Callithrix jacchus: one gene and its partners. The protein of the gene in region 3 purifies or fractionates together with the protein of the main gene of each other region. This does not show direct contact. Links are inferred from orthologs where the notes say so. Each region holds a gene or a part of one and is shown on either strand. Other genes may lie near its edges.

What was found.
Region 1: the proteins of SART3 (region 3) and LARP7 purify together in Homo sapiens (affinity purification with mass spectrometry; 4 studies listed by BioGRID and IntAct, counting the BioPlex papers as one, with this or other methods). This does not show direct contact. The link is inferred for Callithrix jacchus from reciprocal best matches to the Homo sapiens genes SART3 and LARP7.
Region 2: the proteins of SART3 (region 3) and TUT1 purify together in Homo sapiens (co-immunoprecipitation; 4 studies listed by BioGRID and IntAct, counting the BioPlex papers as one, with this or other methods). This does not show direct contact. The link is inferred for Callithrix jacchus from reciprocal best matches to the Homo sapiens genes SART3 and TUT1.

The regions. Positions count from the first base shown.
Region 1 is NC_133504.1:84,551,087-84,560,965, forward strand, and holds the start of LARP7 (la-related protein 7), read right to left. Parts: upstream 5,828-9,879; 5' UTR 5,695-5,827; intron 5,522-5,694; exon of another isoform or gene 5,070-5,521; intron 3,764-5,069; 5' UTR 3,645-3,763; intron 1-3,644. Other genes in the region: 5'-3' DNA helicase ZGRF1, read left to right, coding at 8,532-8,555, 9,694-9,774. UniProt on the Homo sapiens protein: RNA-binding protein that specifically binds distinct small nuclear RNA (snRNAs) and regulates their processing and function.
Region 2 is NC_133511.1:119,857,003-119,866,881, reverse strand, and holds the start of TUT1 (speckle targeted PIP5K1A-regulated poly(A) polymerase), read left to right. Parts: upstream 1-4,100; 5' UTR 4,101-4,188; coding exon 4,189-4,270; exon of another isoform or gene 4,271-4,460; coding exon of another isoform or gene 4,461-4,476; intron 4,477-6,555; coding exon 6,556-6,746; intron 6,747-9,879. Other genes in the region: metastasis-associated protein MTA2, read left to right, coding at 214-442, 593-682, 1,030-1,148, 1,256-1,404, 1,631-1,796. UniProt on the Homo sapiens protein: Poly(A) polymerase that creates the 3'-poly(A) tail of specific pre-mRNAs. Localizes to nuclear speckles together with PIP5K1A and mediates polyadenylation of a select set of mRNAs, such as HMOX1.
Region 3 is NC_133510.1:111,415,886-111,425,664, reverse strand, and holds part of SART3 (spliceosome associated factor 3, U4/U6 recycling protein), read left to right. Parts: intron 1-698; coding exon 699-854; intron 855-1,592; coding exon 1,593-1,731; intron 1,732-2,200; coding exon 2,201-2,308; intron 2,309-3,009; coding exon 3,010-3,087; intron 3,088-3,218; coding exon 3,219-3,277; intron 3,278-4,940; coding exon 4,941-5,050; intron 5,051-8,384; coding exon 8,385-8,497; intron 8,498-9,425; coding exon 9,426-9,502; intron 9,503-9,779. UniProt on the Homo sapiens protein: U6 snRNP-binding protein that functions as a recycling factor of the splicing machinery. Promotes the initial reassembly of U4 and U6 snRNPs following their ejection from the spliceosome during its maturation.

The DNA of each region.
Region 1 (9,879 bases), on a different chromosome or scaffold from region 3:
ACAACCACCACCCTCCCCCACCAAATAAGTTTTATTCACTTTTCTTTTTTTGAAATGAAGTTTCATTCTTGTTGCCCAGGCTGGAGTGCAATGGTGTGATCTTGGCTCACTGCAACCTCCGTCTCCTGGGTTCAAGCAATTCTCCAGTCTGAGCCTCCTGAGTAGCTGGGAATTACAGGTGCCCACCACTACACCCGGCTAACTTTTGATATTTTTGGTAGAGATGGGGTTTCACCATGTTGGCCAGGCTGGTCTGGAACCCCTGACCTCAGGTGATCTACCTGCCTTGGCCTCCCAAAGTACTGGCATTGGCCGGTGTGCCCGGCCTATTCAGATTTTTAATATTATAACCTTTATGGGACAAAATAAAAATAAACTGATTATTGATTTTGATTTTTAAAATGTTAATTTATGCTTTCTAGAGGCAGAAATTTCTTTTTTTACTTTTTTTTTAATCTTTTTTTTTTTTTTTAGATGGGGTTTCACATGTTGGTCAGGCTGGTCTTGAACTCCCAACCTCAGGTGATCCGCCTGCCTTGGCCTCCAAAGTGCTTGGATTATAGGCCTTAGCCACCACGCCTGGCCTCTTGGGCAGCAATTTCTAACCCCCTCCTTCCTCAAGTTACTTTGCATAGCTCTTCCCCTTTGCTTTGTCAGCTCCAGTCATACTGTCCTTGTTGTACTTCCTGAAACTCACCCAGCAAAATCTATCAGGTCTAAACCTGTTCTTGAAACACATATCCCCAGCGATAACAGCTTGCTCTCCTACCTCCTCAAGTGCCTATTTAAAGGTCACCTCTTTGAAGTCTCCTCCCACAACCATATTTAATAATGCAAATTTCTGGACACATACATGGTAACTTCCATGTCTTATTTTCGTCCATAGCATTTATCATCTAACATTACTACAACTACTTTGCAATTCATTTTCTTTCCTAGAATGTAAGATCAATGAAATCAGAGATTTTTGTCTGTTTTGTTTACTGACAGATTGTCAGTCCCTGCCACAACAGTCCCTTAAAAATCTGTTGAATAAATTGTGCCTACATTTTGTTGAATGAATTGAATCACTTGAGGTATATGAGCAAAGGATCCGGTCTGGGATAACACAGCCTGCTTGAGAATAACCTCAGTCTCCCATAATACAGTCTTCTTGGAAACTGGAGAAACCAATGGGGAGTGTTGTATCTGTTTCCCATGTTGTACCTGGTTTGGAGCAGCTATTGAATGACATGGAGGCCTTATACCTATGTGACCGGAACAACAGATTGACAGGCAAAAGGTGTTAAAGCTTTTATGTGTCAAATTATCCTAAACACACCTTGGTCCTTATCTAGGGAAGCCATACATGCCTCTTGTGGGTAAATGGGAGAAAAAAGAAACGAATCTGGGTAATTGCTAGATATAATGGCTTGGCCATTGCTGGGATGAAGAAGCTATATCTACCCTATCTTTTGCCTTGTATCTTTCTTTGGTAAACATAGTATTTGAATCACTTGAGTCTGATAGCTGGTAAGAGGGTCCAAAGCCCTTAATGCATTTCACCTCAAATCTCCAACTAAACATGCATTCTCATCAACAGAAGGACATTTTGGCATTTTAGAACAGGCTTCAGTAGATCAGTCAAGCACCAAGTTTGAAGATATCCAAGTAATATCATATTTAGGTGATGCTAATTTAAGACATAAAACACAGCTACAGGTCAGAATAATAGAAAAACAATCAGGTGTCATTAAGTACCACATAACCACGTTCTTCACCTAATGGTCTTACTTCAACCCATTCTGTCAGGCTTTCCTCTGCACCATTCTAGAGATACTGCAAAGTCCTCAATGGGCTTGGTCTACTTGACCTCTCAGCAGCAAATGCAGTTGGTAACTTCCTCCTTGAAAATACTTTCTTCGGCTGGTCATGGTGGCTCACACCTGTAATCCCAGCACTTTGGGAGGCTGATTACAGATGCCTGCCACCATGTCTGGCTAATTTTGTATTTTTAGTAGAGATGGGGTTTCACCATGTTAGTCAGGCTGGCCTTGAACTCCTGACCTCAGGTGATTCACCTACCTTGGCCTCCTTCAACTTATTTAAGGATGCCATATTCCACCAAAAATTAACCAATCAAGCTATTTATTAGCTGTGTGGATTTTGAGGAAGTTACACCATCTCTCTGTGGTCTATAAAACATGGATAAAAATCATACCTATGTAATAGTCGTCAGCATTAGCCAAAATAATGAAAATAAAGTACTTCAAATTGCTGATACACAGAACACAATAAGTAACCATTATTCTATTCAATCTGTTGTTAAATCTTATCAGTTTGACTTTTGAAATGGCTCCTCATCTCCATCCAGTGTTTTCTGCAACTACTGTCACTAGAATATGGCCACAGTTTATAAACTGTTCTGTAAGTCATCTGTTCTCAGCAGGAGCCTATGTATAACCCATCTAAAATACAGACTTGGTTTTGTGATGCTTATGTCAAAACATGCAACATTTGAAATTCCTAAGCACCTTCCTGTAACATAATACACAATTTAAGAAAACATTGCTTAAAAAAAAAGTAACATTTTACTGGAATAAAAGTTACCATGTAACACCACCAGTTACTTTATATACATTTTTGTAAATCCTCACAATCCCACAAGGTAGCAGTTTCTTCCTTTTTTTTTTTTTTTTTTTTTAGACACTGTCTTGCTCTGTCACCCTGGGTGGAGTACAGTGGCACAATCTTGGCTCACTACAACCTCCGCCTCTGGGATGCATGGTTAATTTTTGTACTTTTAGTAGAGACAGGGTGCCATGTTGGTCAGGCTGGTTCTTCCATCTTCTTAAGACTCAAAGGTTAAGTCACTTGGTCAAAGCTAGCTAAGTAAGTTGTCTCAGGTATGTTTGATCCCAGATTGTCTACCTTCTGGTAGAATTTCCTGCAATTTATCACCATGGACTCTATGTTCTGACTCAAAATTTTTTTTCAATTTTTTTTTTAAAGACGAGGTTTCACCATGTTGGTCAGGCTGGTCTTGAACTCCAGACCTCAGGTGATCTGCCCAGCTTGGCCTCCAAAGTGCTTGGATTACAGGCGTGAGCCACCACGCCCGGCCTGACTCAGGAATTCTTAACCTGAAGTCCATGTAACTTTGGACAAGAATTCTTGGGGGCTCCATTAAACTGTTAAATGATACACATTAAAGATAAGGTTAAAAAAAAAGACTCTTGTACAAATATAAAATGAATTCATGGTAAAGATTTAAGGACAGTCATGGGTTGCATAATGACAGGGACACATTCTGAGAAATGCATAGTCAGGTGATTGTGTAAGTACATCACAGAGCGTGCAGTTATTCTATGATATATTCACACAAACCTAGGTAGTATCAGCTACTACACACTTACAATTTTATGGGACCACTGTCATACATGTGGTCTGTCATTATGTAGTGCCTGACTGTAAATGAGGAAACCAGTTAAGTGTTAAAAACCAGTTCAGGCTGGCTGTGGTGGCTCACAGCTGTAATCCCAGTACTTTGGGAGGTCGAGGTATGTGGATCACCTGAGCTAGGAGTTCAAGACCAGTAGGACCAACATGGAGAAACCCCATCTCTATTAAAAATATAAAAATTAGCTGGGCATGATGGCACATGCCTATAATCCCAGGTACTCAGGAGGCAGAGGCAGGAGAAATGCTTGAATCCAGGAGGCGGAGGTTGCGGTGAGCCGAGATTTCAAGATTGCACTCCAGCCTGGGCAACAAAAGCAAAACTCTGTCAAAAAAAAAAAAGCAGGTACATAATTAGAAACGTTGAAATAAATATTAATAAATACTAGTCAGGACAATAATTAATTGCATCTTTATTGGACAAACCTAATTTCCGTATTGCTTTCTACAGCTTAAACAGTTGTAAAATAGTTAAAAGATTATACATAGATAACCTGGAAAAGTGAGCCTGACACCAAGACATTTGTGTGTGTGTGTTTGCTATTTAAAAGTATTTCGTGGCCAGGCGCGGTGGCTCAAGCCTGTAATCCCAGCACTTTGGGAGGCCGAGGCGGGTGGATCACGAGGTCAACAGATCGAGACCATCCTGGTCAACATGGTGAAACCCTGTCTCTACTAAAAATTACAAAAAATTAGCTGGGCACGGTGGCGCGTGCCTGTAATCCCAGCTACTCAGGAGGCTGAGGCAGGAGAATTGCTGAACCCAGGGGGCGGAGGTTGCGGTGAGCCGAGATCGCGCCATTGTACTCCAGCCTGGGTAACAAGAGCGAAACTCCGTCTCAAAAAAAAAAAAAAAAAAAGTATTTCATAATTTTTTCTGAGGAAATTATAGGGATTCTTGCTGTTGTCACCCAGGCTGGAGTGCAATGGTGCGATCTCAGCTCACTGAAACCTCTGCCTCTCGGGTTCCAGCAATTCTCCTGCTTCCGCCTCCCGAATAGCTGAAGTTACAGGTGCCCGCCACCACACCCCCAACTAATTTTTGTATTTTTACAAAAAGGATGGGGTTTCACTATGTTGGCCAGGCTGGTCTTGAACTCCTGACCTCAGGTGTTCCACCAGCCTCGGCCTCCGAAAGTGCTGGGATTACAGGCGTAAGCCACCGTGTCTGGACTAAAATGTTTGTTTTGTTTCGAGACGGAGCCTCGCTTTGTTGCCCAGGTTGAAGTGCAGAGGCACGACCTCGGCTCACTGTAATCTTCGCTCCCTGGGCTCAAGCGATTCTCCTACCTCAGCCTCCTAAGTAGCTGAGACTACAGGCATGCATCACTGCTCTTCGCTAATTTTGGGGTTTTTAGTAAAGACGGGGTTTTGCTATATTGACCAGGTGGTCTCGATCTCCTGTGATCTGCCCGCCTTGGTCCCCCAAAGTGCTGTGATTACAGGCGTGAGCCATCGTGTCAAGCCTCGAAAATGTTTTAACAGGTGAACATGTATGTTTTCCTGAGAAACTAATCCATAACGTTTACTATGTTTTCAAAAGAAGTGTGCCAAAAACAGGTTAAGAATCATTGCTCTAGTCACTGCCTACAATTCAAATCCTTCAACACTAAGTGGCCTGGGTCTTTTACCTTGTCTGAATTTTCTCAATTTCCTTATTAGATTTTCAAGATCCAGGTTAAATGGCAGCTTACTCTTTGAGGTCTTCCACCACCATGTGGTCTCTAATTAATTGCCTCCTCATTTGTTTTCTCTAAGTTTCTTTACTAACGCACTCTGCATACCGTATCTAGCATTTATTGTTAGTTCCCTTCCATAACTGGACTTTTAACGCTTTGAGGACGATGGCAGAGTCCTGCAAACGAAGATGATAATTTTAGAATATAAATCCTCACGTTCGTTATCCTCTGGCAGCCATAGCTCAGCTCCGATTTGCGAAATAAGGCACTCTCTTTACTGACTACTGCTTCTGTCGGCATCCGTATTTCCGCACGGACGCCGTCAGTTGCTCGGCGCGCCCCAAACCTCCCCACGCAGGGTCCCTAAGCGCCCCCACTCTCGGAAGACGGGAACTACAAATGCTGCCGGAGGACTTTGGCGCGTGCGCATAGAGAACTTGGCCAAGGAACTGATGGGAGCGCGTGAGGGGGGCGGGGTAAGAAGGACAACAGATGATAGAGTAGACCGCGAGAAAAAGAACGGAGTTATTTCGAGTTCGCGCAAGCTGAGCGACCATATAGGCCGCCTGTAACTTACTCCGTTCAACTCCCAAAATAAAGGGTCAAGTACTGCGGCCTTCAGTTCTTTCAGCCTCCCGATCCCGACAGTCTTGGTTACTTTCGCGTCATAGGACAAGCGACAGCGTTCTTCGGTCCCAGTCGAGAAAGACAGGCCCGGACGCAGTGCGCGCGCCACCTACGTCACAGGCGAGGTGGTTTCCGGGAGGGCGGGGCATCGGAGAACGCGGCCGGCTGAGGGGCTCAAAGCCGAGGAAGAACATGATTGGCGGGTTGAAAGTGTCGGTTTTTGGCTGAGACAGAGGTGGGCGGGCTAAATCTTGGGTCCTCATCTGGTACGGTCCCGTGTTAATGACGTCACACTGTTTCGCGGGAGAAATTCGAAAGTGGATTTTGTGGAATTTGACAGGTGAGGTGAAGGTGTTACTCGGGATTTCCTAGGAATGAAAGGTAAATAGGCAGGGAGACTTGGGGGATTTGGGGCGAAGGGACGAAAGACTGCTCCATAAGAGAACCGGGAGGGATACTATTTGGAACCATGATTATGGTGATCGCAGCTGCTCGAACTGCTTGTAAAAAGTTGTGCCTCTTGTTCACCGCTTTTCCCAGGGCCTGCTTTGCAATTTCGAGTGTGTATGAGGACCAAAGAGGGCTTTGCTGTTTGTATTTGGGACCGAGAAAGGATCAAATCTCCATTGTCATTTGGTGACACAGGATTATGGTTATTAGAATCTTTGAAAATGAGATGTGGGTTTTCTTTTTGAGACTGAGCCTTGCTCTGTCTCCCGGACTGAAGTGCAGTGGCGCGATCTCGGCTAACTGCAAAACTTCCACTTCCAGTGTTCAACCAATTCTCTGCCGTCCCCTCCCGAGCAGCTGGGATTACAGGCCCCTGCCACCACACCCGGCTTATTTTTGTATTTTTAGTAGACACGGAGTTTCACCATGTTAGCCAGGCTGGTCTCGAACACCTGACCTCAGGTGATCTACCTGCCTTGGCCTCCCAAAGTGCTGGCATTACAGGCCTGAGCCACTGTGCCTGGCCTGCACTTCACTCCTTAATTGCATTAGAGCGCCCTCATCAGGCATATCAATTCCTGTTTGGGAAGACCTTCATTGGCCTTCCCTTGACTAATAGTTACTTCAGCTTACAACTTAGATTTTACTTCCTTGAAGAAGGCTTGTTTGATGATCAACACCAAGCCAGGTGCCCTTCCTGTGCTTACTCCTGCCATATTTTATTAAAATTACTGTTTATCACTCTGCCATACTGAAATTCGTTGAGATGAAGTATAGAGATTCCATTTAAATATTTTAGCCTAGCATAATGTCTGGCACGTCTTAATAAATATATATAACTTATAAATAATATGTAAGTGGCATATTTTATATGTCTAAAGGAGGAACTGAACTCAAATTACACATGATAGCTTTATTGAATCCTTCTAGGTTTTTTAGATCTGTATTCTCAAACTTTTTATTTGAGACAGAGTTTCGCTGTTGTTACCCAGACTGGAGTGCAATGGCACGATCTTGGCTCACCGCAACCTCCGCCTTCTGGGTTCAAGCAATTCTCCTGCCTCAGCCTCCCGAGTAGCTGGGACTACTGGCGCGCACCACCATGCCCAGCTAATTTTTGTATTTTTAGTATCAACGGGTTTCACCTCGGTGACCAGGATGGTCTTGATCTCCTGACCTCGTGATCCACCTGCCTCAGCCTCCCAAAGTGCTGGGATTATAGGTGTGAGCCACCGCGCCCGGCCTGTATTCTCAAACTTGAGATTCCATCACCATCACTTGGAGGGCTTCTTAAAACACAGACTGTTGGGCCCCAAGCCTAGACTTTCTGATTTAATAGGTCATTTCTTTCTTTTTTTCTTTTTTTGAGACGGAATTTCATTCTTGTTACCCAAGCTGGGGTGCAGTGGCGTGATCTTGGCTCACTGCAACCTCCGCCTCCCAAGTAGCTAGGATTCCAGGCACGTGCCACCACACCTGGCTAATTTTTGTACTTTTAGTAGAAACAGGGTTTCACCATGTTAGCCAGGCTGGTCTGAACTCCTGATCTCAGATGATCTGCCCACCTCGGCCTCCCAAAGTGCTGGGATTACAGGCGTGAGCCAGATGATACTGTTGGTCCAGGGGTCACATCTTTAGCACCACTTTAGGAACAAAAAAAGAGAATACGTCTCTTTGGCATTTCTGTTTACTTCTTCAGGTCACCATCAGTGATTTTAGATTTCCAAATTTTCCCATAATAACAATTTTGTCCAATAGCATAGCATGACTACAGTAACTGTTACAACAGTGTTGGAAAGATTTTTCCTTGCAGAGGTACTATATAATATATATTTGTTCCTAGATACTGTGGTATATTGATGTAAGATGTGAAAGGAAAAATTTAAAACACAAGGGAGCCATCTTGTGGTGGCTATAGCAATTCAGAAAACTTTAAACATTAAATTTAGACCATAAGGAACCAAATGTGGAGGACAAATTTGTATTTTCTGATGCATATTATGGCACCTGGAAAAACGTTTGCAGACTCCAAATTAGTTTATATATTTTACTTAGTTTTTTCTTGTGAAAAAATTCTTGTTTCATAGCATATCACTTTCACTGTGTCCTCAGTGATAGATAATTTTATTACAACTCCGTTTTCCTTGGTAGTTAGGTAGTCTTGGAATTTGTTGATTCATGTCTGTCTGTGGTTAAGAGTTTATTGAGAAAAATTATATTTGATACTTTGAAAAAATCAAGGTTGATATTTTATGTCATTTTTAATTTTAGGTTGTATAAATAGTTGAATAACTACTTCCTATTTTCTGGACCCAGCAGTTTATAACTTCAGAAGAAATGATGGAAAGCCAAGAATTTATTGTAAGTTTTACCATTTTTCACAATTGAAATGCCCTTCCTGTCTCCCTTTCTTCCTTCTTTCTTTTAAAGGTGCTTCACAAACGTCTTGCTGTATTGACAGATTTAGCAAAAACAAAACAAAAAACAGGCTACTAAGTTAAATTTGAATTTCATATAAACAATGCATATATTTTTTGGCATATGTTTCTGGCAACCCTACCTGTACCTGCTATTTATATTTGTGACACAAAATCATCACTTTTCAGCCTTTTGGCTAAGATCAAGTATTAGACAAAGTCCTTTGGAACCTATTCTTTGGAAGTGTGAGACCAGGAAAACAATTTCTTCTCTTAAAGAACTGGCACGCCTTTTCTGTACAGATGATTGGTTCTCACATGATTGGGTTTTAGGACTCTTCAACACTCTAGACAATTATTGGCCCCAAAGAACTTGTGAGATGTAGGTCTCACATCTATTGATGTTTTTCATATTAGAAGTAAGTTAAAGCAAATATGTAAAAAGTATTTATGATTTGACTTAATAGAAGACAACTAGAGTCTCATATTTGTTTCTACATTCAGGTTGCAATTGAATCTTGCAATATTGCATATACATAATCCTGGGAAACTTCATTCTGCAATCCTGAAGGAGTGAGGATGAAAAGACAGCATGATGAAAATAGTTTTCACCTCACAGACATCTGTAAAGGTCTTGGACTCCTCCAGGAGTCTCTAGACCAAACTTTGAGAACTGCACAGATTATAAGTACTGTGTAACTCAATAATTTTTTCCCTTTTCACGGATGACTAGGGAGCTCAAATTACTTTCAGTACTCATTTATCTTTTTTGTTTCTTCCTTGGATTTTTCCTCTCCTTTCTTCCTTCCCCTTTCTTTTCCTCCCTTACTCCCTCCCTCTTCTTTTCCTTACCTCTCTTCCCTCTTCCTTCCTTCCCTTTTTCTTTCACTTAATTAATGTTTAATGTTATTATCATATCTGTGCTTCTGTTTTTAAAATTTAAAAAATTGATATGGGTGTATATGCCTTTTTTTGATGAAAGGTGCCTGAAATATATTTCATATGTAGGAAGGATATATGAAATATATAACATTGAATATATATAATGGGAACCATTTTTTTTGTGTGTTTTTGGAAATAAGGTCCTATATACTCATCAGAAGATGAAGAAGTCAAAAGTGTGGCAAGATGGAATTCTGAAGATCACTCACTTAGGAAACAAAGTGAGTACAAAGCAGTTGACTACAGAGTGTAAGAGTGAGGTTCTTGATTTTTTGATTGGATATTTAAAAAACTATGTGATAAAATGTCAAATATATCCATAAACT
Region 2 (9,879 bases), on a different chromosome or scaffold from region 3:
GATGTGAGCTTAGGCGAAGGCCAGAATACCCAACTCTTTACATGGTGATGGTTTGATGGGCAGGGGGTACTTGATGCTGGTTGGAGAGACACTAGGCCAGGAGGTCAGTAAAGAGACTAGGCAGGAATAAATTGTCCTCGGGAGGGAATGGAAGAAAGAAGGGAGCCTAAGTGCTGATTTCTATTCTCTCTCTTTCCTATGCTCTTCTTCTAGGAACCACACTCGAGGGGTCATTTGTCCAGACCTGAAGCTCAAAGTCTCTCTCCTTACACAACCAGCGCCAACCGGGCCAAGCTACTGGCTAAAAACAGGCAAACTTTCCTACTTCAGACCACGAAGCTGACACGTCTTGCCAGACGCATGTGCAGGGACCTATTACAGCCAAGGCGGGCTGCCCGACGACCTTATGCTCCTATCAATGCCAATGCCATCAAAGCAGAGTGTAAGGGCAGGGAGCAGTGGGGCTGGTGGTTTAGGGTTGCTCTGCCCAGAGACCAGTGTTTCTCTGGATGTTAAGATTAGACTTGGCTCCTGGCCTCAGAGGAGACCTGAATGGTGAAGCCCTTCAGAAGCTTTCATCTTTTTTCTCCAGGCTCCATTCGACTTCCTAAGGCAGCGAAGACTCCTTTGAAGATTCATCCTCTGGTGCGGCTGCCCCTGGCAACTATCGTCAAAGATCTGGGTATGGGATGGGTACCAGTGAGGGTGGCGTCAGGCTTCCAGTCCCTTCCCTATCAGACATCTCACCCCTTGCATTTTTTCTTAGTGTCCTTAGAGAGTTAGTCTAAAAAAGTGCACTTTCGTTGTTTAATAATTTTTTTGGTAAACTATTCAGTATTGCTGTATTGATTTGATAAGGTCATACTGATACTTGAAAAATACTAGTTAGCTTTTTTGCCAGAACCTTCCCCCATTGCTACTTTTGGGGATGCCCAGGTAAACTGCTGGTCCACGGAAGAGAGATGGAAGTAACAAAGGGGAACTGTGTAGGGAAGTAAAGGTGCAAAACTTTACTATTTTTTTTTTCAGTGGCCCAGGCACCCCTGAAACCAAAAACACCTCGGGGTACCAAGACTCCAATCAACAGAAACCAGCTGTCCCAGAACCGAGGACTGGGGGGCATTATGGTGAAACGGGCCTATGAGACTGTGAGTTGACAGAAAAGGGTGGGCCAAGCTGAATTGGGCGGGCTTTTGTTTCTCATAGGAGTCTGAGAGGGTCCTTTCCCTCACTGTGCCATCCTACCCTTTTCCAGATGGCAGGGGCAGGGGTTCCTTTCTCTGCCAATGGAAGGCCTCTGGCTTCAGGGATTCGTTCAAGCTCACAGCCAGCAGCCAAACGTCAAAAACTAAACCCAGCTGATGCACCGAATCCTGTGGTGTTTGTGGCCACAAAAGATACTAGGTAGGCAGTCCACCGTGGGAGGGGCTAAGAGGGATGGTCCAGGCTGGTGAGTGTGGGGAGTAGCAGTATCAGAGCATGAGCTCCAGGAAGATTGTGGATGCAGGGTGGGGATGCCAGAGGAGAATGGGCCAGAAGGCAGAACTGCAGTGGGGAATGTGGGGCTTCCCCTGGAGGTCTTAAGTGTTCTCTAAGCCTTTTCTGTTTCCCACTTGCTCTTTCTGGCCAGGGCCCTACGCAAGGCTCTGACCCACCTGGAAATGCGGCGAGCTGCTCGCCGACCCAACTTGCCCCTGAAGGTGAAGCCAACGCTGATTGCAGTGCGGCCCCCAGTCCCTCTACCTGCACCCTCACATCCTGCCAGCACCAATGAGCCTATTGTCCTGGAGGATTGAGCACCTGTGGGGAAGGGAGGTGGGCTGAGAGGTAGAGGGTGGATGCCCAGGGCACCTGAACCTCCCTTCCCTTTCCTGTCAAAGGGAGTGAGGAGTGAATAAAGGAAGGGAGCAAGTGTGTGTGTCCCTGGAGGGGTTGGGCGCCCTCTGGTGTTACCACCTCGAGACTTGTCTCCTTATGCCTCCGTGCTTGCTGATGGAGGACAGACTGCAGGAACTTGGCCCATGTGGAAACCTAGCCTATTTTGGGGGGTAGGACCCACAGATGTCTTGGACAGTTTTGGGGGGGAAGGGTTTTTTAATTTTTTAAAAATTTTGCCTCCCTTTGTGAAAGGGGATGGGAAGGGGAAGAGTGCACAGATATCAGGTGGTGGTACCTGGTTGGGGGAGGGGGGCGTGCACTGCCATGTCTTTTTTTTTTTTTTTTTTTTTTCCTAATTGGGGGTTTCTCTTTCTGTCCGGTGTCCGGACTTTCCTAATTGGAGTTTGAGGCCCCTAAGCTGGCATCAACCCCAGGCCACGCTCGCTCTTTCCTTCCCTCCCCTCCCCCTCCGCCTTTTGTACGCCAGTTCTCAGAAATAAAGATCTTTTGTCCGTTTTTTTAACCTCGGATTCTGTAATTGGTTCTTATAGTAACAAATAAAAAGCTGTTTTCTTCAGCTTCTCCTGGCTCAGCTGTTCTCTGCCATGGGTGTGTGTTGTGTGTGTAGGGGGTGTCTTTGAGAGAGAATAAAGGACAAAGGACAACAAGGGCAGCACAGATGGTTCTTACCCTGGGAACAGCTTTATGAGATATGCAGCCTGGACAGAGGTGACTTGCTCCAGCTAGCCTTCTGGTGGGACCCAAATTGCTCCCTAGCTCCCAGTGGTGCTGGAGCCCAAGCACCAATTGGCCCAGATTCGTTCAAAGGAGTTGAGATGAGCTTTCTGGGTGGCTGGTGGCCTCCACAGGAAAGGACACTGGAGGTGTTTTTTCCTCTGTTTCCTACCTCTTACTCCCCTCTCCCTTTTATTTAAGGAATTCTGGAAGTTGCTAGCAGCCAGGGTGAGATGTATAACACCTTGGTGGTGGTGGGGTTAAAGGAGGATCCTTTCACCTAGCTGTGTGGTGTTACTTGGCAGGTGAGAATTCTACCACTGAACACCTGAGCACCTCTGGGTGTATGTTTACAGCCTGCTTACTGCCTCAGGAGCCTCAAGGCCAGCCTTAGCAACTGCCTTGATATCCTGATTCACTGTAACACCATTTCCTGCTTTAAAGGTTTGGGACACTGAGATTAGATGCCTGAGTTGGGCCCATTAGAAGGAACACCTTAGGGGAGAGAACAAAAAGTTCAGCCTACTGTGTGCTCCTTGGGCACTTCCTTTAGAGATGGGGAACAGCCTCAGCACTTGCGACTTGCTCGCTGTCGCCTTAAGTCCATTTCTCTTTGCATCATTCAAAGCTGTGGGCTGATAACTACAGTACAAGCTGCCGAGCCCACATGATGGTCCTCTGCACCTTGTTATGGTCCCTGTCCCTAGGGCATCCCCAGCTCCCGTAGGTAGCCCCTCACTGTCCCGAGCCTTCATCTCAGCGGTGTTCGGAGGAACTGACAATTATACCTGCTGGGGTTCAACAGCATTTCTCCCCTCCAGTGTCTTTACTAGGTTACCAGCACTCGGTTTTGTCTTGTCGCACTGTCGCACTGCTCCGAGGTGCGACAGTGGCTCTGGCACCTCCGGAGTACACCACGCAGCCCAATACTGCGGAAGGAATGGTCCTGGCTCCCGGGACCTCATGGAGTCCGGAAGGTGCCCGATAGTGGCAGAGCTCCCTAACTAGGGCTAGAAGCAGTCGCAGAATACCCGTTTTGCGAGAGGACAATGGGAGGAAAGGGAGGGAGTACCAGCCCTGAAAAGATTGGAAGTCCAGGGACAGTCCTGGGCTCCGTGGGGCAAAGGACTGAAAGCCGCCGATCCTCCTCCGCCTTTATTCGTCGGGCAAATAAGGGTCGAAGGTAAGGAAGCACGAGTGTTTACTGCTGGGAGAAGGAGGGGCCGCGAGACACCACCCAGCGCCGGCCTTTGTGGCTGCTGTCATAAATATTTACGCCCTTTGGGCCAATCGGCGTCTGAACAGTTTAGAGCACACCAATCGGCTTACTGCATGCAGATAAGCATCGTAAGGCGCGGCTTTTCCCAAAATGGGCGGGGACTTGACACCGGCTAGAAACGGAACCCGGAGTAGCTGGAGCTTGGTTTCCGGAGGAGTTTGTCCGCGCAATTGGAAGACTTTTTGTCACTTCCTATCGGACGGGCGGAAGTTACTTCCGAGCGCGTTGAGCTTTGGAGAAGTGGGTTCTGGTGGTGGCAGAGGTGCTTGTGTATTTGTCGGTACAGGAGAGTCGCTATGGCGGCGGTGGATTCGGATGTCGAATCGCTGCCGCGTGGGGGTTTCCGCTGCTGCCTGTGCCACGTTACTACAGCCAACCGTAAGCGGTGGCTAGTGAGGGACCTGGGTGGTTACGGGCTTTAGTCTTTTGATCCTGGCGAAAGTTAGGGTTATAGGTCTTCGTTCCTGTCAAGTCGGTTGGTAGGGTCTCACCTCCGTTTTTACTCCGCAAGTTCGAGGGGATTTGGAGAGTCGAGAAAGTCCCACCACATTACACTCCTCCTCAGTATATGACATCTCCACGACGCAAGTTTCATTGTTTTATTCCTTCTTTAACCGTCATCTGTAGGACATATGCTCTGTGGCTGGTATTCTGCTGATCTTTAGGGTGGGGGAAGGGGGTTCAGAGATGGAGGGGCTCACCCTCTAGAGATGGAGAAAGTTTCAATGCTTTGTAGTTATGTTTGGAGAACTGTGGGACCACAGAGAATCGGTAACTAAGTCAGAGAAGCCCTACAGAGGACTTACTCAAAGGTGGGGACGGATGAAATAGGTGGCATGAATGACTAGACCATAAGGTACCAGTGAGAAAGAGACAGAAGATGGGTTTCGAAAAACAGACAAGGTTCTTGTATGACAGAGAAGGAGTTTATCAAAACCGCAAATTCCACTTTTTTTTTTTTTCCTTCTGAAACAGGCTCTTGCTCTGTCACCTAGGCTGCAGTGCAGTGTTGTGATCTTGGTTCACTGCAGCCTCAACCTCCCAGGCTCAAGCCATTCTCCTGGTTAGCCTCCCAAGTAGCTGGGTGGACAGGCGCGTACCACCACACCTGTCTAATTTTTTGTTTTTCTGTAGATACAGGGTTTTGCCATGTTATCTAGGCTGGTTTCCAACTCCTGGCCTCAAGTGATCTTCCCCTCTTGGCCTTCAAAGTACTGGGATTACAGGCGTGAACCAAAGTGCTGGCCCCACTTTTGAAGTCTGGAATCACAGTCTTCCCTGTGGGTCTACTTCCATTCTTCCTTTTCTCTGTGAATGGCACTATCACTGTTCATCCAATAGGCCAGGCCAGAAACCTAGGCGTCTTCCTTGGCCCCACATTTACTTTGACATCAAGCAGCTAACTCATAATAAAATAATAGCAATGGCTAGTTTTTTGACATTTACCATGTACGAGACTCTCCAAGTGATATATATGAATAATACCTGTGTGTTTGGTGCTAGGTACTTTTATTTCCATTTTATATCTGAGGAAGTAGGTGCACAGAGAGGCTTTGTAACTTGACCAAGATTTCATACAGCTTCACAGAGTTGGGACTTGAACTTGGGCAGTGTGATTTCAGATCCTGCCCTTGACATCACTATACCATACCATACCCAGAGATGACCCACGAAGTATTCCAGGATCCTAATACTTTTTGTTGTTGTTGTTGTTTTGAGATGGAGTCTTGCTCTGTCACCAGGCTGGAGTGCAGTGGCACGATCTTGGCTCTCTGCAACCTCCACCTCCCGGGTTCAAGCGATTCTTCTGCCTCAGCCTCCTGAGTAGCTGGGACTACAGGCACGTGCCACCACGCCCAGCTGATTTTTGTATTTTTAGTAGAGATGGGGTTTCACCATGTTGGCCAGGATGGTCTTGATCTCTTGACCTCGTAATCTGCCCGCCTAGGCCTCCCAAAGTGCTGGGAATACAGGTGTGAGCCACCGTGCCTGGCCTGAATCCTAGTATCTAGCTTTTCTGTGGATGACCTGGATAAGTTACCTGTTAATTTCTTTCCAACTCTACCTAGCACAAATAGGTGGTTTAAGCTATACTGTCGCACTGGTCTTTAAGTAAAAATTAAAAATAAAAGTAAACAAAATACTTGTGTAGCCAGTTCTCTTGGGAACCACTTAGAAAATGTACTATTTAGGCCAGGTGCGGTGGCTCATGCCTGTAATCCCAGCACTTTGGGAGGCTGAGACAGGCAGATCACTTGAGGTCAGGAGTTCAAGACCAGCCTGGCCAACATAGTGAAACCCTATCTTTACTAAAAATACAAAAATTAGCCGGGTATGGTAGCAGACGCCTGTAGTCCCAGCTACTCAGGAGGCTGAGGCAGGAGAATTTCTTGAACCTGGTAGGTGCAAGTTGCAGTGAACTGAGACTCTGCCACTGAACTTCAGCCTGGGTGACAGAGTGAGACTCTGTCTCAAAAATAAAAATAGAGAATGTATTATTTAGACAAAAGTATAAGAGAGGAAGGTGAAAGGAGCCAGGACTTTGCTTATTCAAAGGTCAGTTTCTGTGGCTTGGAAGGATCAGAGGATTAGGTATGCAGAGAGCAAGGGTAGACTCACTAAAGAGTGCTTTGGGAGTTTTTGTCTCACACTTGTCTTTGCAGGACCCAGCCTCGATGCCCACTTGGGAGGCAGAAAGCACCGGCACCTGGTAGAACTACGAGCTGCGAGAAAGGCCCAGGGACTTCGAAGTGTATTTGTCAGTGGCTTTCCCAGGGATGTGGATTCTGCCAAGCTCTCTGAGTACTTCCAAGCATTTGGACCTGTGGCCAGTATTGTCATGGATAAGGACAAGGTAAAGTGAATGGTTCCGGGGGTAAAGAATGAATCAGGGCTGGGTGTGGTGGCTCACTCCTGTAATCCCAGCAGTTTGGGAGGCCAAACAAGGTGGGCGGATCACCTGAGGTCAGGAGTTCGAGACCAGCCTGGCCAACCAACATGGTGGAACCCCATCTCCACTAAAAGTACAAAATTTAGCTGGGTGTGCTGGCACTAGTCTATAATCCTAGCTGCTTGTGATGCTAAGGCTGGAGAACTGCTAACTAACAAAACCTACAGGAAAGCAAGGCAAAAAGCACGAGCTTGTTTATCTAACACTCTCCGAGGGACAGGGTGTTCTAACCAAACAACCTCAGTACCTCTCAGTGGAAGTTAATAAACTGCTAACGGGTTAACAGTTACAGGCAGACATTGCAGGGACCCGAGATCGCACCACTGCACTCCAGCCTAGGTGACAGAGCAAGACTCATCTCAAAAAAACAATAGTAAAAATAAAAATCCAAGAGGAGGGGAGGTGTGAGAAGCTCCCAAAGCTGGACTAGCCCAAGTGCTGTGATGTCCATCAAGAACAAACCACATTAGGAACCAGCTCAAACAGCCTGTTAGTTTCTCTCTCTTGTCTCTCTGGTACACAGCACATCTGATTCTTTTTTTTTTTTTTTTTTTAAGAAGGACCCTTGCTCTGTCACCCAGGCTGGAGTGCAGTGGCACAATCTCGGCTCACTGCAACCTCTGCCTCCTGGGTTCAAGCGATTCTCCTGCCTCAGCCTCCCGAGTAGCTAGGACTACAGGCACATGCCACCACACTCAGACTCCTGACCTTAGGTGATCCGCATGCCTCAACCTCCCAAAGCGCTGGGATTATAGGCATGAGCCACCACACCCAGTCCTACCCCTTGAATTTTTTCACTCCATCAGAGTTAGTCAGTGGGGGATTTTGTGTGTGTGTCATTTATTGATTCAGTGAATTGTATTTTTTGAGATGGAGTCTCACACTGTTGCCCAGGCCGGAGTGCAACGGTGTGATCTCTGCTTACTGCAACCTCCGCCTTCCAGGTTCAAGTGATTTTCCTGGCTCAGCTTCCTGAGTAGCCACGACACCTGGCTAATTTTTTTTTATTTTTAGTAGAGACAGGGTTTTGCTGTTGTTGGCCAGGCTGGTCTCAAACTCCTGACCTCATGAACCACCTACCTCGGCCTCCTAAAGTGCTGGGATTACAGGCATGAGCCACTGCGCCCGGTTCAGTGAATTCTTTTTTGCCGAATATTTATTCACAGCTAACTTTGTACTAGGCACGATGCTTAGGGCTGCATTCTGAGTAGTGAATGGGATAGATATGGTCCCTGCTCTCATAGAGTCTGTAGTCTAGAGGAGAAAGTGAACAATTAAATAAGTAATTATAGTGAAAAGTTGGTACTTAAAGCACAACATACCATTGGATCAACTCCACAAGAACCTGGTTGATAAACCAGTTAGCAATTTATTAACTTCCGCTGAGAGGTACTGGGGTTGTTTGGTTGGAACACCCTGTCCTTCGGAGAGTGTTAGATAAACAAGCTTGTGCTTTTTGCCTTGCTTCCATGTAGGCTTTGTTAGTGTCCCTTTAGTCCCTTGAAAAAACTTCACCGTTGAAGTGCTGTGTTCCTTGGTCATACTGTGGTTCTGAGGCTGCACTCTCGTTATGTAGGCATGGCTTAGGTAATCCCAAATATCCCTTTGCAGCCCAGATTATCTTTTAGAATGGGGTGGAGTCTGTGTTTGTTAGGGATTGCATTCAGCAACCAAACTACAAATGGCTTAAACAATAGGAAGTTGGCTGGGCACGGTGGCTCACGCCTGTAATCCCAACACTTTGGGAGGCCGGGGTGGGTGGATCACGAGGTCAGGAGATCAAGACCATCCGGGTCAACATGGTGAAACCCTGTCTCTACTAAAAATACAAAAAATTAGCTGGGCATGGTGGCACATGCCTGTAATCCCAGCTACTCAGGAGGCTGAGGCAGGAGAATTGCCTGAACCCAGGAGGCGGAGGCTGTGGTGAGCCGAGATCGCACCATTGCACTCCAGCCTGGGTAACGAGTGAAACTCCGTCTCAAAAAAAAAAAAAAAAAACCAATAGGAACTTAATTTTTCTCATGTAACAAGAAGTCCAGACCTGGGCAGTTCGTGGCTTTGCTGTTTCCTGCTCCTGCCATTATTGGCACGTGGCTCCTTAGTATATAATAAGCCCTCAACAAATAGTAACTCTAGCTATGGATGGTGACTAGTGGTTGAGAGGACAAAAATGGCAAGAACACAGGCTCCTTATTTTTACTTGTTTATTTATTTTTGAGCTGGAGTCTCGCTCTGTCGCCCAGGCTGGAGTGCAGCGACAGAATTTTGGCTCACTGCAAACTCCACCTCTTGCATTCAAGTGATTCTCCTGCCTCAGCCTCCCAAATTGCTGGGATTACAGGCGCCTGCCACCACGCCTGGTGAATTTTTTTGTGTTGTTTTTTTGAGATGGAGTTTTGCTCTTATTGGCCAAGCTAAAGTGCAATGGTGTGATCTCGGCTCACTACAACCTCTGCCTCCAGGGTTCAAATGATTCTCCTGCCTCAGCCTCCTGAATAGTTGGCATTACAGGTGCGTACCACCATGCCCAGCTAATTTTTAAAATATATTTAGTAGACATGGGATTTTACCATGTTAGCCAGGCTGGTCTCGAACTCCTGACCAGCCTGGCAATCCGTCCGCCTTGGCCTCCCAAAGTGCTGGGATTATAGGCATTAGCTACCACACCTGGCTGACACAGTCTTCTGAATCTGCTAATCCTGCCCTCCCTGATGCTTTCTGTGAGGTTTTGTAGAAATATAGAAGCACAGACAAGGCCAAAGGGACACTTACTTTCTAGCTGGGGCTTTGGTTACAAGCTTGGTGTGGTAATGAAGTCTGGTAAACTGTGGTTTCTCAGAGTCAAAAGACTGGCCTGGGTGGGTCCAAGTAGCTACCTTTGTCCTGACTTCGCTTTGGTTCTTTGCTGTGTTTGGCATAAGGGTGAAAGTAAGACTGGGCATGAAGGTGTGCCCTGTAATCCCGGTTACTGGGGAGGCTGAGGCATGGAGGTGTGCCCTGTAATCCCAGTTACTGGGGAGGCTGAGGCATGGAG
Region 3 (9,779 bases):
TACACAGCCTGTGTGTTTTCTTACTCTCCTGTACTCCTTCTCCCTTTCTTTTTCATGTATAAATGACTTGCATGTGCCTGTGTTTCACAAAGCCTCAATTGTTCAAGTATGTCATGGCCACGCGCAAAATGTGGCTGAAGAGAAAACATGTCGAATAAGAAGATTTTTCTTGAAAAAGAATTGATTGTGTGTCTTTGGATCAGTAAACATTCAGCACAGCTGCCTCCATCTTCTGCATTTATCTGCATTCTTCCAGGGACTGATATTTGGAATAAGAAACCTGAAATAGCACCAGGCACTAAATTTTTCCACTTTGGTTGTATTAACTCTACTCAGCAGCCTAAGAATGTGACTTCTGGTTTGGAAGGGTGGTTAACAGTGGTCACTGGCACAGGTGACCTCTTTCGCTCAGTTCCTGATTGATGGGCCACTTAAATTCCCTGTGGTCTAGGAATGGATTTAGAAAAGGGTTTATGGAGCCTTTGTCATGACTGCCATGTACTGGCACTTTGAGCCAGATGAGAAGACTTTTGTTCTGCTCGAGAAGTTATAGAGCCCGTAGTGTATTGGCTCTGAGTGAGGATTTGGTGATTCTTAGTTAATGTAGCCAGCTTTGCCACAATTTATTTTATTTGCAGATGTGTTGTGGTTCCTGTCACTAACTAAATTCAACTTTAATACCTTTTCCTGTACTCCAGTTGCAAGCAGAGGCACCAAGGCTGGCAGAATATCAAGCATATATTGATTTTGAGATGAAAATTGGCGATCCTGCTCGCATTCAGTTGATCTTTGAGCGTGCCCTGGTTGAGAACTGCCTTGTCCCAGACTTATGGATCCGTTACAGTCAGTACCTAGTAAGATAACTGTTCTAATTTCATTTTACTTTTGCCAATTTAGACTCTACTTAGAGAAAATCAGTAAGAGTGCCAGGAGTTTGTTGCATATGGCCCTGCTCTTGCTTTTCCTCCTCTTTGCGAACTCGTTTAGAAAGTTTCAGCGTTTCAAGTTATTTTAAAATTGCCACTAACTGTAAGTAAAATTCACATATAGTCTAAGTATGTTGAGGACTAACGACAAATTGATATTTTTTCTTTGAACTTTTTATTATGGAAAAATTGTAAACATATAAAAGTAGACAGATCAGTAAAATGAAACTTCCTGTACCCCTCACCCAGCTTCAACAGTTATTAGCAATTTAGCTTTAATTTACTTTCATCTGTTGTCTCGCCTACTTGCCCCTTCTGTGTTACTCTAAGCAAATCCAGAAGTGATATTTCATTGGTAAATATTTCAGTATGTATATACAAAATATTTCAGCGTGTGTGTATAAAAGCATCCAAATGAAGTATATCCAGTAGGATTGGCTGATGTCTCTTAAGGCAGTGTTAACCTGTAAATTGCTTCTCTCCCTCTCTTCTCCCCCACTCTCCCTAGTGATTTTTTTTTTTTTTTTTTTTGCTTAAGAAACAAGGTCACAAGAGATGTTTATAAGGACATTTCTTTTGTCACTTGTTGTGCTGGCAATGTTTTGTTGATTGGTGAATTCTTGACAATAAAATTTAATTTCCTAACTCTGGAATTCTTTATCATAGGACCGGCAGCTGAAAGTAAAGGATTTGGTTTTGTCTGTACATAACCGTGCCATTAGAAACTGCCCCTGGACAGTTGCCTTGTGGAGTCGGTACCTCCTGGCCATGGAGAGACATGGAGTTGATCATCAAGTAATTTCTGGTGCGGATGTTTTTGTGGGAGAACTTCTAAGCTATTTGTCCCAAGTGAGAAATAGACCTGGGACAAAGTCATTAAATCAGTGTTCCCTGGGGTTATCTTTGGGTTATGGAGTGTAATGACAAAAAGGGCTCTGAGTGAGAGATGAACTGGTTATATTTGTGGCTTCTTAGAGCTTTTTAACATGCTAATATTTATTGCATTTCCTGAGAAGTTGTAGTTTTTTTTCTCCAAACTTCCTTGACCTGGAACTCTTCTTGCAGGGCGTCTCGTGGAAGAAGTTTTTTCTAGAACACAGTCTGTAGAGTGCTGTAGCAACTTCTTTCTTAAACTTTCCTGTCTAGCTCATTTCTTTCTGTTACATCTATTAGTCTTTAAAGTCATGTAGTCTTTTATAGTCAAGTCAAATGTAGTAACTTTATTAGCTTCCGTTTGAATTGGTAACAAATCCTGACTTTTTCTCTGACTCCAGTAACCTTTGAGAAAGCTTTGAATGCTGGCTTCATCCAGGCCACTGATTATGTGGAAATTTGGCAGGCATACCTTGATTACCTGAGGAGAAGGGTTGATTTCAAACAAGGTATGTAAGCACATGTGTTTCACTTCAGAACTGATCATGGTCTTAATACAGTTTTTGGCGAGATGCCCCAGTTCCCCAGATATATTGTGATTGGGCAGATGATGTAGACCAGGCATGGGTGACTTTCCCCCCAGAAATCTTAGCAATTTATGTCTTTAACAAGTCATGCTATGGATTGTAAAGCAAGAGAGTAATGGTCGTTACATTTTATACTGGCTCTTGCCAGTCTCTTTAGTCTTAGCTCTCATTTCTCCCTTCTGGCCTTTTTATTTATCCTAAATACTTCTTGAAATAAGACTGCTGTGTTTTAGAAAAATCTTTGTACCTCTTTGGGATCCTCTGCCCCCCTATTCCCCAGAAAACAACCAGAAAACCCCTAACTTGTACACTTGTGCCAGCTGTTACCTCATGCAGGTAACCTTTAGCCGTTCTCCTGTTTGCCTGTGTCACCCCAGCTAGGGGAGACTCCCCACCACAGCATCCTGTGTTTGCCTCTGTCACCACGCTGTCCATACTCTATTCTAATTTTTTCTCTTCACTATGTGATGAGGGCAGGAATTGGCAATTTTATTTCTGTGTCCCTTGCATGATGCCTCCAGTACATAATGGGTCTCCAGACAGTTTCAGCGTAGGATAAAAAACAAAACAAACAATGCCATGCTATATGGTTTCCTAAAGCCTTTTTTTGCTGTTTCCACTAGACTCAAGTAAAGAGCTGGAGGAATTGAGGGCCGCCTTTGCTCGAGCCTTGGAGTACTTGAAGCAGGAGGTGGAAGAGCGTAAGTATGTCCCCGCCTGTGGCTTTGCCCAGTTGTATTTCCTGGTCTATACTATTTGCTGGTTGATGTACCTTTTCAGCCAAAGGCTATTTGTCTCTAAGTTTCTAATTTTACTAATGCTGTTTTTGAAGGTTTCAATGAGAGTGGTGATCCAAGCTGCGTGATCATGCAGAACTGGGCTAGGATTGAGGTAAATGTTTTTGACAAATCTATCACTTTCATCCACTATTGTTTAATAGCATCCTATTAAACCTTAATTAAAATTGAGTCAGAGTCCCAGATAATGGCCTAAGCTCTATAAGGATTTATGTTATTTACCTAGGTAGTAGTGTAGGCTCTACAAGGGTTCATGGTGTTTACCTAACTTGACTCATATTTGTAAATATGTTGGTGAAAATATTAGCTCCCAGCTAGAAGTTGTGTAGTAAATGTCTGAATGCCAGGTATTTACTCATTTACATCCATCTCTGCCTCTTTGCTTCATTTTTGAGAGCACAGTGAGTGGGTACTCTTTGTCAGCACTGTACCACTGCTATGGGAATAAGACAGATACAATTCCTGTGCTAGTAAGACTTCTGTCTAATATGGAGAGCAGATGATTTGACAAGTAATTAGAGGATATGATCATTTGGATGTCATTACTGGGTCAGGGACACCAAGATCAGTAAAACACAAAACCTGCCTTGATCAGCAGGTAGGATTGTAACAATTCTAATCATGTTTTATCCTCTGAGGGAGAGTCAGATAGAAGAGACTTAACATTTGTCAGGTAGTTTCTGTATGGGATGCTTAGGTTTTAACCATTTTAAAGATGAGAAAACTGAGAATTACAGTTTAAGTAATTTGCCCAAGTCACAATTTGTAAGTATTAGTAGCAGAGTGTGCATTTAATACTAGATCAGTCTTTTTTAACATTATCTCCCAAATACTTTTAGTTCCACTTGATAAAAATAAAAAACAGGTCGGGCGCGGTAGCTCAAGCCTGTAATCCCAGCACTTTGGGAGGCCGAGGCGGGTGGATCACGAGGTCAAGAGATCGAGACCATCCTGGTCAACATGGTGAAACCCCGTCTCTACTAAAAATACAAAAAAACTAGCTGAGCACGGTGGTGCGCGCCTGTAATCCCAGCTACTCGAGAGGCTGAGGTGGGAGAATTGCCTGAACCCAGGAGGCGGAGGTTGTGGAGAGCCGAGATCGCGCCATTGCACTCCAGCCCAGGTAACAAGAGCGTAACTCTGTCTCAAAAAAATAAATAAATAAATAAACAACAACAACAACCAAAAAAAAAACAAAAAAAAGAAAACAAATGACTGTCCAGTAAGTACCATGCACTCCCTCTCTCGGTTCTCAGGAAACGTAGGCAGATAAACTCGTCACTGCAGAAGGGCTCAAGTGTTTGGGCTGGGCCTTTTACCACTAGAGGGAGGCCTGGGAAATGCCCAGGGTCATCTGTAACACTGATAGTCATGGGGTGCTTTTTTTGTTTGTTTGTTTGAGACCGAGTTTCGCTCTTGTTACCCAGGCTGGAGTGCAATGGTGCGATCTTGGCTCACCGCAACCTCCGCCTCCTGGGTTCAGGCAATTCTTCTGCCTCAGCCTCCTGAGTAGCTGGGATTACAGGCACGCGCCACCATGCCCAGCTAATTTTTTGTATTTTTAGTAGAGATGGGGTTTCACCATGTTGACCAGTATGGTCTCAATCTCTTGACCTCGTGATCCACCTGCCTCGGCCTCCCAAAGTGCTGGGATTACAATGGGGTGCTTTTTATGTGTGTCGGTTGGAAGTATGTTGTATGATGGGTGTCAATGTCATAAGGTTTAGGTCTCCTAACAGCCTGTTGATGCACTGTAGGCTCGGCTGTGCAATAACATGCAGAAAGCTCGGGAACTCTGGGATAGCATCATGACCAGAGGAAACGCCAAGTACGCCAACATGTGGCTAGAGTATTACAACCTGGAGAGGTAACTGATCCCGGGGAGGGGAGGGAGGCGGTGCTTGTCAGCTATGCCCCTGTCATCACTCCTCGCCGACTCCTACCAGCTTGGGCAAACTCCGTAGAACTGGGCTGCCTTCTTTCATTCTGTCTTTTTCATTAGTGGGTACATTTTTAATGGATAGGGCTAGAGAACCAGACATCATATTTTGTGCCTGGAACTCTTATAGCCATGCATTTCTTTTCATTTGTTTTTGTTTTTATTTTTGGGCATGATATTTTATTTGACCTTTTGGAACTACTTATTTTTTATTATATTTGCTTTTATAGAAAAGTAGAAAATACTAAAAAGCTAAGAGAAAAAAAACTCAAATTACTAACCCAGTCATAACTGTGCATGACCCATTCTTTGAGACTTTTCTATGCTTAAATTTTTTTGTAATGAAAATGCAGTTAAAGCATACATGTGTTACAAGCCTTTAAAACCTATTTGAATGAAATAAGATATGCCTAGCAATATTTATAACATGGGGAAAACATAAACAGTGTGACCAACTTTTCAGTTTATCTTGAACATTATACATTGTATAACATTGCTACATTGCTGTTTATTTTTGAATATTTTTTCCCTATTTAAAAAACACTGTATGCCCAAGTTAGTCAGAATATTTACACAAATATGTGATAGAAAATGACAGTTTCTTTTCTTTTTTGGGGGGTGGTGGGGAGTCTTGGTCTGTCGCCCAGGCCAGAATGCAGTGGTGTGATCTCAGTTGCAACCTCCACCTCCAGGGTTCAAGCAGTTCTTCTGGGATTAAGGTGTGGTCCACCTTACCTGGCTAATTTTTGTATTTTTTTTTTAGTAGAGGCACAGTTTTCACCAGGTTGGTCATGCTGACCTCAAGTGATCCTCCTGCCTTGGCCTCCCAAAGTGTAGGAATTACAGGAGTGAGCCATCGCATCTGGCCGAAAGTGACAGTTTCTTATCGTCCCACCCCAGAGATAATCACTGTTAAAGCTTGTTGAATATTCCCCTAGATCAGTAGTTCACAATTTTTTTGGTTTCACGATCCCTTTTCCACTCAAAATTGGAGGATCCCAAGAAACTTAGGTATGCGACTTATATCTATTGATATTTATATAATTTATAAATTGAGAAATCTCAAAAACACTTAAATTCATTTAAATATAACAAATCATTTGACATTAATAACTGTTTTAACAGTGACTGTTTTCCAGACCCCAAAATAATTTAGTGAGAAAAGTGGCATTGTTTTCTATTTTTGCAAATATATATTTAGTCTGACTTAGTATAAGACAGCTGAATTCTCATGCCTGTTACTGCATTCCGTCTTTTGTGATCTGTTTTCATTGAAGAGTGTGAAGAAAATTTGACTTTACCCAGATTAAAGGTTAGAAAAGAAAAGTATTTTAGTAGCATTTTCAGATAATTGTGGGTATTCTTTCATACATATTATAGCAAAACTTCAGTGTTGGCATGTGTAATCTGAAACCATATTGACAGATTCTGTTACAGTAATATCCACTTGTCTATTTTATCTCTTATGTGATGCCATAATTCTATGACATTATTTGGAAAAATCCCAATTCACTAAATCATGCAGCTCTTCCAAACGTTGACTTATTTTATTCTATAGTATTACAAAATCATATTTGTTCATATCTGTACTGATTTTAGTAGAAAAGTATTATACGTAGGAAGCTGTCAGACTTGTGGTGGCAGATAAAAGTTTTCCAAAGATTATAATTTTCACTTGAAAGCTTGAATTTTATCACATGCAACAAATAATGTCAGTGGTTTTCCTCAGAGTGGCAGCCTCACTTTGTTAATTTTCAGAAATGTCTGCCAAATACCCAGGTCTGAGTAACTGACTGGTTTGTCACTCAAGTGTTCTTTCGAGTAAAAATGGTGTCTATGAAAAAAGTGGCTTGATCAGCTTGCAACTCAAACGGTAACATGCGTTTCTGTTTTTTGCAATAACCATTTACTTCAGTATGCAGAAGGGCTTTAAGTGTATGTAGCATTTCGTCACACAGTGCATTATTATTATTATTTTGAGATGGAATCTTGCTCTTTCACCTGGGCTAAAGTACAGTGGCACAGTCTTGGCTCACTGCAACCTCTGCCTCATGGGTTCAAGCGATTCTCCTGCCTCTACCTCCTGAGTAGCTGGGATTACAGGCATGCACCACCACGCCTGGCTAATGTTTGTATTTTTAGTAGAGATGGAGTTTCACCATGTTGGTTAGGCCAGTCTTGAACTCCTGACCTTGTGATCCCCCCATCTCAGCCTCTGGAAGTGCTGGGATTACAGGCGTGAGTCACTGCACCAGGCCTCACAGTGCATTAAAAAGATATGTACTGCCTTGATTTGTGCTAAGGGCCACCATTTCTTGTGCACTGTCTTGAAGATGTCAACACAGTGAAAAAGTCCAGTAACATCTTGGCATTTATTATAAAAGGAGTTTTGTCTTTGCAGGCCTCCTAAGAGGCTCTTGGAGATCCTCAGGGGATCTCCAAGGGCATATAGGTACATGGATCCTACTTTGAGAACCAGTGCTCTGAATTTTTTCTGAGTGTCATAATATGTATTTATAATACTTCTGTATATTTAAAATGTTTTAAAAACAAATGCGAATATACTGTTTCATAACAGTTATGACTAACAGAATTGTTGTGTAGCTGTTGTGATTAGCAGTATACAAAAAAGGTCTGTTTGTGACCAGCCTGGCCAAGCTGGTGAAACCCCATCTCTATTAAAAATAAAAAAATTAGCTGGATGTGGTGGTGGGTGCCTGTAATCCCAGTTATTCAGGAGGCTGAGGCAGGATAGTTGCCTGAACCTGGGAGGCAGAGGTTGCAAGTTGCAGTGAGCCAAAATTGCGTCATTGCATTCCCACCTAGGCAACAAGAGCGAGACTCATCTTAAAAAAAAAAAAGTCTGACTCTGAATATGAAATTTGACACTACCCTGGATTCTACTCCCCTTGGGTAGGACTCCATAGTAAAATATCCCTAGGGACTGTATCAGGTTACAGAGAGCTGTTGGATTCCCCAGCCATGTGTGCACATGTGAATGCTGTAAAGGCAGAATGCTGGTTGTAGATCACATTCCGAGATACGCTTTTCAATAGCCCCTACATGGCTGAGGGAGAGAGTAGTTTAGGGAAAGCCTTCGTAGGTGACTAGGACAAAGTATCGTGGATAGATCTGAAAGCTAAGGTCTCAGAAGCTAGAGTTACTGAAGAGTGAATTTCTACCTGGGAGAAGACAGCCTCTTCCTTTGAGTGCCTTTTTTTTTTGTGAGCTGGTGGCAGCAACTGTTTGTTTTCTGCCTTAGGGCACATGGTGACACCCAGCACTGCCGGAAGGCGCTGCACCGGGCCGTCCAGTGCACCAGTGACTACCCAGAGCATGTCTGCGAAGTGTTGCTCACCATGGAGAGGACAGAAGGTGGGACCCCTGGCTCTCTTCTGGCTTGGAGCCTGACCCATTTGCTGTTTGGTATCAAGTTAGGAGCCTGTGGTTACAATCTGGGGACAGACTATGTTTATGCTGCCACCTCTTAAGTGGTGCCTTACGCTTAGACTGTCATGAGTGTCCTGAAAATGAGTCTTCCTGCAGCTTCTGTCAGATTCTGCAGCCACCAGGAGGACTCTGTGATGTCACTCAGCACAGAGTTCTAACTCTTTGTGGGGGGGACTGTGCACTGTAAGATGTTTAGTGGCATCCCTGGCTTGTAGCCATGAAATGCCAATAGCAACCTTCCCCCACAACCAAACATGACAACCAGAAGTTTCTCTCAGCATTGCCAAATGTTCCTTGATAGGCAGGAGCCCTCCACTGAGAGCCACTGTGCTCCAGTGCAGCGTCTGCCCAACAAAAGAGCTTGGAGAGGCAAATGGCTCAATGTGTTCTGTGTTAAATTTCAGAGTCTTCAGTGTTAGAGAGCTAGAACCATTAGGAAAATAATGTGACTTTATCTGTAGGTATTGATCTGGATTTTGGGTATGGACCCCCCAGAACTGGGAATCAAAGACCACCAAAAAATAAATGCCTGAACATTTGAGTAGCTCTTAAAATTCTTCAGTCTTAATATAAATGTACCTTTTGCATGATAATGTTTTTATATTCTTTGCCGTCTAGAGCCCTTAATAGATCACGTTCTGGGTTTCAAGTCTCTCCTGAAAGGGAAAGGACATTTTAAACTCACTTAGAAAGGACTATTTGAATTCTAAACTTCAAGCCTAGATGAATTACATTTTCTTATTGTTTGATGGGAGAAATCTCTTCTGGAGTTATAGAGAAATTAAGAAAAATTTATTTGATTATATCCTTCAAAATCCTAAAGAGTAAAAGTTTTGCTTCTCTTTCTCTCAAGGTTCTTTAGAAGATTGGGATATAGCTGTTCAGAAAACTGAAACCCGGTTAGCTCGTGTCAATGAGCAGAGATTGAAGGTAATGACAGTGTCTTTTTGAAGTCTTTGGCAGCCCTGTTAGCTATTTTGGTTTGATTTGGTATGGATGTTTCTTGTCAAGACGTTTTACGTTTTCCTAAGTGTCTTTTACTCAGTATTAATTATAAAATATTTAGATTAATGTTTAACCTGCCTTGTATCATCATTTTAGACTGGTCTAAAACTTCAGCCCCAATATTAGGTACTTGTTTCATGTAGTGAGGGAATTTTGGATCTAAAATTTACTAGAATTAGTAAAAAAAGAAAAAGAAGAGCCT